Linked DNA regions of Daphnia pulex. The protein of the gene in region 2 purifies or fractionates together with the protein of the main gene of each other region. This does not show direct contact. Links are inferred from orthologs where the notes say so. Each region holds a gene or a part of one and is shown on either strand. Other genes may lie near its edges.

The links.
Region 1: the proteins of nuclear pore complex protein Nup133-like (region 2) and nuclear pore complex protein Nup98-Nup96-like purify together in Homo sapiens (affinity purification with mass spectrometry; 6 studies listed by BioGRID and IntAct, with this or other methods). This does not show direct contact. The link is inferred for Daphnia pulex from reciprocal best matches to the Homo sapiens genes NUP133 and NUP98.
Region 3: the proteins of nuclear pore complex protein Nup133-like (region 2) and nucleoporin SEH1-like purify together in Homo sapiens (affinity purification with mass spectrometry; 4 studies listed by BioGRID and IntAct, with this or other methods). This does not show direct contact. The link is inferred for Daphnia pulex from reciprocal best matches to the Homo sapiens genes NUP133 and SEH1L.

Annotation. Positions count from the first base shown.
Region 1 is NC_060021.1:8,263,655-8,267,407, reverse strand, and holds part of nuclear pore complex protein Nup98-Nup96-like, read right to left. Parts: coding exon 3,738-3,753; intron 3,672-3,737; coding exon 2,898-3,671; intron 2,834-2,897; coding exon 2,447-2,833; intron 2,379-2,446; coding exon 2,118-2,378; intron 2,053-2,117; coding exon 1,184-2,052; intron 1,115-1,183; coding exon 675-1,114; intron 608-674; coding exon 1-607. UniProt on the Homo sapiens protein: Plays a role in the nuclear pore complex (NPC) assembly and/or maintenance. NUP98 and NUP96 are involved in the bidirectional transport across the NPC. May anchor NUP153 and TPR to the NPC.
Region 2 is NC_060023.1:10,064,727-10,068,479, reverse strand, and holds the start of nuclear pore complex protein Nup133-like, read right to left. Parts: upstream 2,744-3,753; 5' UTR 2,340-2,743; coding exon 2,302-2,339; intron 2,237-2,301; coding exon 2,106-2,236; intron 2,048-2,105; coding exon 1,716-2,047; intron 1,655-1,715; coding exon 1,349-1,654; intron 1,295-1,348; coding exon 671-1,294; intron 609-670; coding exon 298-608; intron 232-297; coding exon 1-231. UniProt on the Homo sapiens protein: Involved in poly(A)+ RNA transport. Involved in nephrogenesis.
Region 3 is NC_060020.1:7,749,567-7,753,227, reverse strand, and holds nucleoporin SEH1-like, read right to left. Parts: upstream 2,364-3,661; 5' UTR 2,189-2,363; coding exon 2,078-2,188; intron 2,015-2,077; coding exon 1,858-2,014; intron 1,800-1,857; coding exon 1,648-1,799; intron 1,573-1,647; coding exon 1,226-1,572; intron 1,164-1,225; coding exon 1,003-1,163; intron 930-1,002; coding exon 766-929; 3' UTR 622-765; downstream 1-621. Other genes in the region: meckelin-like, read left to right, coding at 2,477-2,789, 2,869-3,134, 3,190-3,381, 3,443-3,661. UniProt on the Homo sapiens protein: Component of the Nup107-160 subcomplex of the nuclear pore complex (NPC). The Nup107-160 subcomplex is required for the assembly of a functional NPC.

The DNA.
Region 1 (3,753 bases), on a different chromosome or scaffold from region 2:
ATAAACCTTGCCCTTTAGGTACCAATCGGCAATCGTACTGAATCGTTCCGGGTCAGCCAAGGGAGCCAAGAGTTCCTCCAACTCCTGATAGGATTCAGACAGGATAGCTTCCGGAGCAAGTTCATCACAGATGACGTCATGGGCTTGGCTGTAAAGTCCAGCGGCAAGCAGGGAAGTGGCCTGCAGTTTCGGATTAAACGCATAGAGCGCCTTAACTGCTCGACATTTCTCGATCCACTGAGACGGAACGCAAAGTTTTTCGACCAGGAAACGCTCGCACTGCTCGTCCTTTTCTTGTCCGATATGACGGCCGAGGATGTCTTCGACAAACGCTTGAACGAAAGACGGTGACGATTTCAGATGCATCGCAACAAAAATGGCCCAATGCCAGAGGCCACAATTTTCCAACTGGGAAGCGAACGCAATTGACAACTGGGCAGCAGCAGTTTCCGAAAGATGTGAGTAGCCCAAGGCTTGGAGTTGCTGCCACAGCAACCAAGACAAAACATTTTCGCATACGTTCCATGTGTGGCTCAGAGGATTGACCAACTTTTCCAGCGGAGTCGTACGGTGGCAGTAGAGTGAAATCAGTTGGAAACACAAGTCTCTGAAAAGAGAAATTTCAAAACCTAAATGACAGTTCCAATGGTTAATCAACGAATAAAAAGGCTTACCTGAACGAAGTAGATGTTTGTGAATAGGAAGGAGCTGGCTCACTGGCATAGATTTCAGCTTCGTTCTGATCTGACGATATTCCGCAAGCGGCCTCGTACTCGAGCAAGGCGTCAGTGATGCTCCCAACCGGGGAAATGACGTACCATAGATGATGGGCCAATGCCTTGATCCAATCCATTCCTTCACAGGTGTTGATCTTGCCCTCAGTGGTTTCCCAGACGGTGATTCCAGCCAATAAGGCAAAGACGCGAAGACGATCTTGAGTGATGAAGGCATCGGCGCGGTTTTCCGTCCAGAGGTTCAGTTGGCGTTGAAGCATTCCCTTGAAAGCCAGGGACGATCCTGCTTGTGAAATCAGCAACGCCAGATAGTATTCGCCGTTCTTGTGAGCAAGGCGAGCAGCGCCAGCAACGTCGTGGCGAGCTAGTAGAGTCAAGACCTAACACCGAAACAAACAAGTGATTTACAATTTACATAAACACAACATTAAAAAAAAAGTTATGGATACCTCTTCTTCTTCATTCAGACCGGTGATATTTGTCTCCATGGTAGCTTCTTCCAGCCACTGCGTCAAAGTTTCCTTCCTAGCCATAGTTTCCGCGTGCGAACCAGCCTCGACGTCCAAAGGACCCCAAAGAGCGATGCAAAGATTCCAAACTTTGCCCATATAGTTGAGCAGCTGCAACGCCTCCGGATTGCCCTTGTTCTTCAGTTTGGAGAGTAAGCTCTCGGTGGCTGCTTTGAGGAAACCAACAGCTTGCGATCCTGGTACTGGACGCAGAGTTGGCACACCGTCAACTACAGTTGCCTTTGTAAAGTTCAAATACGTCGCTAGTAAGACAACGTATGGATTTTTGCTGTCAACACTGAAAATATCCTCTTCCAGATCGATGTTCTGCTTCAGATCAGACGTTTTCACCGATAATAGTGAGAGTCGAGTTGTGGTCGAGAGCTCCAAGTGTTGCAAATCGGGACCCCATCCTACACGTGACCGACGATTCTGGAACAAGGAAGCATCCATAACAATTCCAAATTTGTCCCGAATGATGGACCGAGAGAGGGGAATCTCAGCTGTGGCGAATCGTGGTACCACTTTTCGGCATTGTTCTGAATTTCGGGCGTGTTCCAATCTGACGTAAGTTGACAAGTTTTCGATTTCAGTAGTCTGTTGCAGTTTAGCTATGGCAGTGAAGGATTGATCCATCGGTACATGCGACCTATTAAGGTCCTCTGGTTGTTGGATTCCAGGAATGGCGCTAGACTTGAAGAGGCTTCCTGGACTCTGCGCAGGGGAATCTTTGAAGAGGCGACTCATGTCTTTTCTTGGTGCAATCGACTGAGACATCCGCACAGATTGATCGAAGAAGCTTCCAATACCTGAAAGGAGATGTATATTTCAATTTGAGCAAATTTTCTAATAAAAATAATGAGCACAAACTTACCCATGGAAACGTCTTGCATATAATCGTTATCGGCATCGAAGAAAGATGCTTTCATAATTTGAACTCGCTGAGAAGGCATGCCCAATGTTCTGGCCAACTGCGTACTGACGGGCGGAGGTGACTGGACGCGCACCGAGTCATCGAACTCATCAGCGAACCGAGGAATAACCAAATCGTCTTCGACACCCATATCTTCTTCAAATGTCATCGACATTGAGGTGACTTGAGCAATAGTCGCAGACAATCCTCCTAATCCCATACCTACAAAAATGGAAACAACGACAAACGTTAGATAAACAAAACTAAAATCGGAAAGGGGATAAACATACCAGCACCAATGACGGTGGTTTGAGCTGCCTGGCCTTGTGTAGTTGGAAGAGCAGCAGCGGCTTTGGGTGGAGCGGCTGGAAGTTCACTTTCTTCATCAGAATCCTCCAATCCATATTTGGAGAAATGGTTCACTCGAAACACCCAGGATCCTGTTTCAGGTCGGTACTCGATGAATTTAGCTTGTAGGCGATGGGCAGCTCGGGCAAGTCGTTCTTCGTAACGCAAAACAGCTAATCTCTCAGGATTGGTGATGTAGTCTCCAGTGGATTTATCTACAGGCCAGACGCGGTCCAAAGTGATTTCAGCTTTGCGATTTAGTCCTTCTCCTTCAGGAGGTTTCTTTGAATCATCGGGGTATACAGTCACTTCCTTGTGGCGAAACAATACTAGACAACAAAAAAAGAGGGTTAACAATACGTTTTTTTAAAGAATTATTGTGAGGTCACTAACCAATTTCATCCAGATTCAAGTTCGCGACATCCAAAGGGCCTTCGAAAAATATTCGACCATAGCCCTGACGAATAATAGAAAACGAAGTAATAATACACTTCCCATTTTCATCCAATCCTTTGATTGCCAAGTCTTCCATGGTCGGCATTGTCGAATATCCGCAACGACGTAAAACTATGCCAGCAGGGTGAGGAGGCACGATTTCTTCTTCGACTGTTTCACTGATTTCCTCTGCAACAGTGACTTCCCCTTCTCCAAGGCCAGTTTCATCCAGCATACTACTGCGTTCTAGCATCGCTGATTGGTTAAGGAACGCAACAGTTGGTCTACGTATCTTCAACACAGTCAAACTATCATCAAGTTCTTCTCGGACTCTAAGATCTGGTCGAGAGTCTAGGACAACAGGTCTTTCTTCAGAAGGTGTGATTAACGGTGCTGATTTGATGGGTTCAGCATCATCGTCCGGCTTATTATCAGTATCGACGGTAGTGTCGAGGGAAATGGCTTTCAGTTGAAGTTTCTTGACACTTCGTCGAGGTACGAAGAAATCTGTTTTCGCTTCCGATCCAGCTCCGTTCTCCTCACCTTCTTCTTCGTCGCTCAATCCTTCAAAAATCGAACGTCTTCCACCACCAGTCGAGGATCCGTTAAGCAAAGCTTTCGTGCGGATTTTATTCGAGGGAAGGGGTGAGATACGGTATTGAGGAGGAGTTGGTGCAGCCCCGTTGGACAAACTGGTACGGGCGCTTGATTTGATCAATTCTTCTGTTTTTCCTGAAAACGCAATGAAACAATTAATGAATGAAATGCGTTCAACTGTGTTCATTCGAAGTGGCTTACCTGACGGTTCCAGCAT
Region 2 (3,753 bases):
TGTCGGTAGAAGAGATCCTGCTGCGTCAATTTGTCATTTGTCAGTTCGACTGCTCTTTCTTGAAGGACCCGTCGGATGGAAGCATCAATAAGTGTTGAACCAGGCGTATGAAGGGCTCGTAGGGCCAAGGATGCACGCAATTTCTCGGCATGTTCCATCAAAACAAATGCACTAGATTTAGCACCGCGACGGTCACCAATGGCTGTCAAGTCGCCCCAAATTGACATGTTCCTGAATAATTTTTGAAAACGTGAACAGAATGTTAATGAATAAAGACTAGTATATAGTGTGACGTACCGAAGGAAAGTAAGGAACAGGTCGTGAGCCTTGACTTTATCTTCCAACTGATGCAGGACTAATAAGGAGACGGTGGTGAACGTTGACTCGTGGCCAGCTGGAACTGAATCTGTCCAACGAGGATCTGTGGCTGGATAGTCGTCGATGATTTGTTGACTGAAATCAACCACCATTCTATCCATGAGCGAATCTATTTGGCCTTTACTGGTTGGAGAGGCAAATAATTCTTCTAGAAGCGACTGTGTTTCATAAATATTTTTGCGACAGAAATTGATGAAAGCCAATCTCAATTTTGATGAGGTAGATTCATTCTGCAAGTAAAATGAAATGCTGTAATTCACCTTGAAAAACACTGATAAACTTTTCAACATACCTGGGCGGGATCAAGGTTTTCGGCCATAATCTGGGAATGTTCCATAATGGATTCATCAATAAAAGATTGGCTGTCATTCGGTCCACCGATTGAAGGTTGTAAAATCAAAACACCGTGACGGGTAGAGAAGAAAACGGGTCGCTGATTAAAGACTCCTGCACCTAGGAAACGTTCATTGGCAGCCTTGACTTCAAGCTTGTCGGGTTCTTCTAGTGGCTCGTTGGACGGTACACACAGGATCCATTTATCAGAGTACAAGTAGGCCGTCGATCCCACGAGAACAAAGCGACACTGGGGAGGGGACGATTCCTGTAAAGATGAATCTGATCGCTCAGCCATGGCTGTGGCATACTTGAGGACACAAAAGGAGGAAAAACCAGTAGGTGGCGAGCTACTTTGCATTGGCAGAGCGGCCAAGGCGTATTGGATTTGGGAACTCAGGTTGGGATTGGAGGCGGCGATCAGCAAGATTAAGTCGTTTTTGTAAACTTGGGCATCAAGAATCCAGACTCTCAATTTGTGGATGCTGTTGCGGTCACTTCGGCTCCAGACGTGCGCAATAAGAGACTCCCTAGCCCATTTGTCAATATCACACTGATATAATAGCCGCTCTGTTTCACCAACCTAGACACAAAACAAGTTTAGTGGGTTATCTTGCAGATTTTTATGTAGATTTACCTGCCAATACTGCAAAGTTTGACTGCAAAGGATTTGAACTTCCAAAGTGTGACTATCTTTTTTCTGGCTCAATAGTTTGACTAGCCGTGTCTCCATCGACTGATGTGTTGAAATGGGTCCAAATATCAACGACGACATTCTACGGCTAATGGAACCTAATAGTCCCTGCGGTGTCTTGAAATTCCGGCACTGTATGTTGGGACTGCCATCAGTCAGGCGAGGTGTCAACAGCAGGACACTGGCAGTTGTTGTGGCTACCAAACAGCCCAGAGGCATAGCTTCACTCAGAGTATCACATTCTTGACCCTGTTAATTTCAATACTGCAATTACTTGTTGTTCGATAAGAATTTTAATCTGAAATTTTACCTGAAGATCAGCATTGATTTCAACAAAAAAGTTTTCGTGAGCAATGGAATCCCAGTAACGGACAGTTCCTTCTGGTGACACAGCAATGCACGATGGGACACTGTCAGCTTCTGAGCAGAAAACCGCCACAAGATCTGATTTGTGTGCTAGATCACTTGGAGGTAAGGTCAACTCATGAGACTTTGGGGAAGAAACAGCAATTGATTTCCTTGAAGGTGTTGATACTGTGTTGGCACCAGCCGCCTTGGAGTACTTCCATATGACAAGTTGCCGTCCACACACAAACCAGGCCCAGCCATCTTTAGACAGTGTAACACTGCATTCCGCTTTCCCTGAAAGCGAACATGAAATTTAATTTGGTCGAGTAGGGTCACATATTTATCAACTTACTTTCTGCCGAGGAAATGAGTTCAATTACAGCTACGGGTAAAGCTGTCCCATAATTTTCTAAGGCATAATTTGACGATTCAGCCAAATTACGAGATGATGCATTCAACGAACGTGAACTGACATTCAATGAACTGAAAGAAAGAAAATGGGATCTTAGCATGTTTGATCAACTTAACACAACTTGTTTAACACATACTTTCTCCGCCCGGCTTTCAGCAAATTTTTTCTATCCATTTGTTCGGTATTTATTCAGTTCCTTCACTTTTTAGAGACTTGAGATATTTTGAAAAAATTGTCGTCTGGCACGTTTAAAAATAAAATCTGACGGTGCTAATGGCGGCGCAATGTTGCCGTGCCTCATACAACTCAATTTCTTTTACTTTTCTTCTCTTATTTTTTTAATGATGTGTTTTGCATACATGAATTTGGATTTTAAAATCATATTAAATACTAAAGTATCATTTCAGATTAAATTTAGCACAATAATTCAAGAAAACTGATTGGTGAAATTGGTGAAAATGTTTTTCATTTGACACAGCGATGCATGTAAATTGAACATTAAAGTTAAACCTACTTTAATTGATTCATGTGTTACTTGATTGAATTGCGTAATTGATCTGATAAAGTAAACGAGGATCTATTTAACGGGCGGATGGATACATCAAGGAAGTCGATTACTAGTGGCGCCTCTGGTGAGCAGAATGGTCGAGCACGAGCCGAATCGTCCGATCCGAGTCAGTTGCAGTCGAGAGTCGAGTCACGACCGTCCCACCTACCCCGGCCAACGTGAACCGGTGCGGGACAAAAACAACAGGAAAGAACGAGAACGAAAGTGGTGGTGGGGGCAAACCAAGTCTTGGAAATTACTTTCAAGCCATTTTTATCTTTTGGTTTCTCAAATTCCCAAAAAGTTGAACGCAAATCTCGCCACGCTCGATGCAACAACCATCTTTTCACAACGGGCCTTGTTGGAAAACTTGAAGAGGATTACCTTTTTTTCTATTACCTCGTGGTTTTTAGTGTGTTGTGAGTGAGTTTTTAAATCATCTACAACCGTCTAGATACAATCAACGTCATCGGTGAGTGAACGATTATATTTTATCTCCATCTTCTTCCACGTTTTTTCCCCACCCATTTGAAATGAAAAGATTAGTGAGATAGGACTAACTTATTAAGAGTTGGATACAATTGCGGTCGAGCCAGGAGCTAGGGCATGCTATATATTCCCAAACGGGACGATAGCACAAACATCACGAAACCAGTGTTGTTGGGCTGTATACGTGCGTGTGTGTGATGTGTACAGTTCTAGATTTATCCGCCTTTCCTTTTAGATATATTGACGAATTCCGGATTATATAGGCTACAACGTGACGAATAATTAAAATATTTCTCGATCGTTGTGTATGTATATTAAAACGGGATGTAGCTCAAACAACGTGCTGGGGGGAAATGAAACAAAACTTTTTTGATATCCCTCCCCGGAAGTTTCAGATAGATTTTCCTTCCGGTACCTGCGAGTGTGTGTGTACATGTGTTATTCTCTAGCACACAAGAATAAGAAGTGAAAGAGGTGATAATATTAGTTTCCCCTCCAAGTGCTTATTTTCCTTTCAAATTGAAGAAACAAAAACAACTAAAAATTTTCTTG
Region 3 (3,661 bases), on a different chromosome or scaffold from region 2:
ACACTTAAACAGCGTATTTCTATTTGTATTAACCTGCTAACTTCAAATCTAAAAAAAAAAACTGTAAAGAGAATGAAGTTCACTTGCTAGAATTATACAAATTTACCGGAAGGAACTGATAGCTCAATTTCCCATGTTTAAAAATGATTTTTTTAAAACTAAAATCGTAAATTTTTGTGATGGCTATCACTAGTTTAGGGAAAATCACGAATAGGATGATTTTCCTATATTTCCTACAGACACATGCAATCGACCCAAAATTTGACGAAGATCACAAATCCTTAGTTCTTTTCTTATTTGCGTCAAAATAATACTTACTGATAATATTTACGGAACTACTGACTTTTAAACTGGAGGTAGACAAAAACAAACGTTTGCAAAAATCTAACAGGTGAGTTTTGTAATATTCAGTTTTTGTCAAAAATCACAAAAATGACCTTACAGTTTATTGTTGTAAATGTCCTTAGAGATGTGTAAATGTATGCAGTAATGCAGCTGAAAATGATCAAATCATTTGAATCATTTCCCTCCTAACAAAAAAACAAATAGCTACTCTACTAGAGAAAAGTGTTTTTATAACAACTTGACCCTAAACGAATGTGACATGAAAAAATGACATAGTTTAAAACTCCATATCATTTCATTTATTTCTTCAGAACAACTTTCCATTTTCGAGACCATGGGTTTCTCCAGAAATGAAAACTCCCAGTTATTTGTGTGGATTGGAAGAGACATATTATTATCATAAAAATTGGGAAGTAAATGTTAGTGCCAGGGTACTTGATTTGGATTGCTGATTGCGCCAAGTTTAAAGTAACGAGCAGTTGCTGCAGAAACGGTTTTATCACGATCAGTTCCGTCTTCTGGACTTACACCCGATCCATCACCTTTCAACACGGCAATGCATTTCCAATTCTGCAAATAGTTGGCTGTGGAAATAGACAGTAAAAACAGCTGATTTAATAGGCCAGACATGGCATTAAATATTTCTTGATTTCTTGCCTTTCCACATTCTTAAACAGCCGTCATCTCCTGAAGAAGCTAGAATAGTTCCAGTAATGTTCCAAGAGATTCTCCAAACAGTAGAATGATGGTCATCAAATTGGGCTGCCTGCAGTATCTCCAACTGGGAAGTTGGACAAGCTGCTGCATAAGCATCTTTCCTTTAATAAAAAAAATTATAAATTTATTCTTATTCCATCCTTAAAATATTTTAACTACTTACTGAGGTGGTTTAAGAATAACTATTCTAACATCTTTGCTTGCAATTCCTAGAATGTGGTAACTTCTTCCCAAGTTAGGTGCAAATGCTATGTCATGCACTGGGTCGACTATTGTGTTGATAGTTTCAGCTTTAGACCAGCGATGGGAGCTTTCACTGTACTCAAACAGAAACACTTTTCCACCAGAGGCGACATTCGTGTCATCACTACCAACTGCCAACATTGGAGGATGGAGACGAGAAAATGACGGATTCCATGATAGACAAGACACAGGCATTTTCAGTGTTATTTCTTGCTGCAAACTCCATTGACTTAGGTTCATAATGTCTGGGGCTTCATATATTCTAACCTATTATGTTATAAAATTGACATTTTCATCTGGTTTATATATTTAACAATGTAATAAATATATCTTAGAACTTACTCCTCCATCAGCTGAACACATAGCTAACAATAGTCCCATGTGTTTTGGAGCAAATTTGATGTCAGTCACATTGGTTCTTGAATCTACCAAACTTGTCCTTTTCACCCAATGACTTTGGTTTTTACTCTGCGTTGAATTCCCTGATTCACCAACTGGATATGCATTTAGTAACTAATTTAAGTTGTTAAAATTGTAAAGAATTTTACAAACCAATTTCTTCCCAAATTGCAGCTGTTCTGTCAAATGAGCAAGTGGCTAAAATTTGACCAAATTCAGGATGAGCCCAATTTACTTTCCAAACAGAACCAGCATGAGTCTTCCAATCAGCAGTCAATCTCCATTCATCATTTTCATCCAGGTCAAAAACCTTGAAAGATAATTCCGCAATTTAGTTAACACAAGAAATTTTTTTCGATTTCTAACAATTTACTTTAACACTCTGGTCGGAGGAACAAGTAGCCAATCGACGCCCATAAAAATCATAAGCTACATCATGAATCAGGTCTTTGTGTTCAGCATTTATCGTTCTTGCTTGAAACATGTTTACAGAACTTTTTAAATCACTTCTTAATCACGAGAAACAAGTTTTTGCTTGCAAATTTCACAGAATTAAGAAAGCAAGAACGCAAGCAGCCGACAGCTCGACTGATCAAACTTCAAATGTATGGCACTATGGCAGTATGGGACAGTTGTGGGCGTTGCCAGATTGATTCATGAAAGAAACGATGTTTTTTCTGATATTGTTGGTTGGCTGACTTGGCTCATTGCTGGGGAGTGGTTGCTAGGTAACAAATATGCTTTACAAAACAAACAAAAATTTAAAGTGACGATGATCGTGTTAGTTGCTCATTACCTGCTTTTTTTCATCTTAAAGAAGGTGGAGGCTTACGATGTCATATTGTCTTCGTTTCCTGAAAGCTGCAATCGTTCCTCCTACTTTGATTCGATATCACATAAGTGCAAAGGTTGCGGGGTCTTTCAAATATCTTCCGATGACCGTTTGAGTTGTGAGTGTGGCTTTGGCTACTACCCTGAATTTAATGAAAAGTCCAAAGCAATTGAATGCTTACGCTGTAACCAATCAATTCAGTCAGAAATGTGTCTAAAAAGCAATCTCACGTGTGAACCGTACGACATCAAAGGTATGAAAAACGCACATTTACCTAGGTCCTATCTGCTAAGTATAGTAAAGAAGAATTAATTTCTGAATTTTTATCACAGTCCTTCAAATTACTGGAAATATTACCTCCGCACGATGTCTGAAATGCCCGCTTTGGCATCAGCCTGATGACACAAAATCTTCGTGCGTTCCTTGTTCGAACATGTGTCATTGTCCTAGTGAATACGAAGATGTGAACGGAACTTGCGTCAAAGATTTATTCACGATTCCCGAAACACCCACTATCTTTACATATAACTTACACGGGAGACCTTACATTTCTAATTATTTGCGGAATTGGGTTAGATTGACGGCAATTAAATGCAAGGTAGGAATTATTTACCATGTTTGTGCTATTAAACACCAATTTTTTTTCTTTAAAGGCACACGGTGGAGGAAAATACTGCGAACATCTGATCAATCTCTGTGTCTTAACGGATTACAACTACGATTCTCAGTCAGCTTGCTCTCTTTATCGACAATTATCTGGAGGCTTTAGCAATTCAATATACTACGACGATAGTCAAAACGAATATCTACTAAACTCCGCCAGGATAAACATACTGAAAGATCAAGTAGCATCTATAACTTTTACGGACTAAACAGGAAAAGTTTTTCATTAATGACTTTTTTTAGAAAATGGATTTTATGGTTAAACAATACGCATTAGATGGTACATATTTATTGATCCAGCCTCTTCAATCGGTTTTTAAATCATTGTGCTGCACTGGAACTTGGAAACCAATCCAACGAAATGCCAATATTTATCACAGCTGTTCGGTTTATTCGAAAGTTTTCAACATGGCTGATATGCGCTTTTATGAAATTTATTTCGTTGATCGGGCAATTAATCAA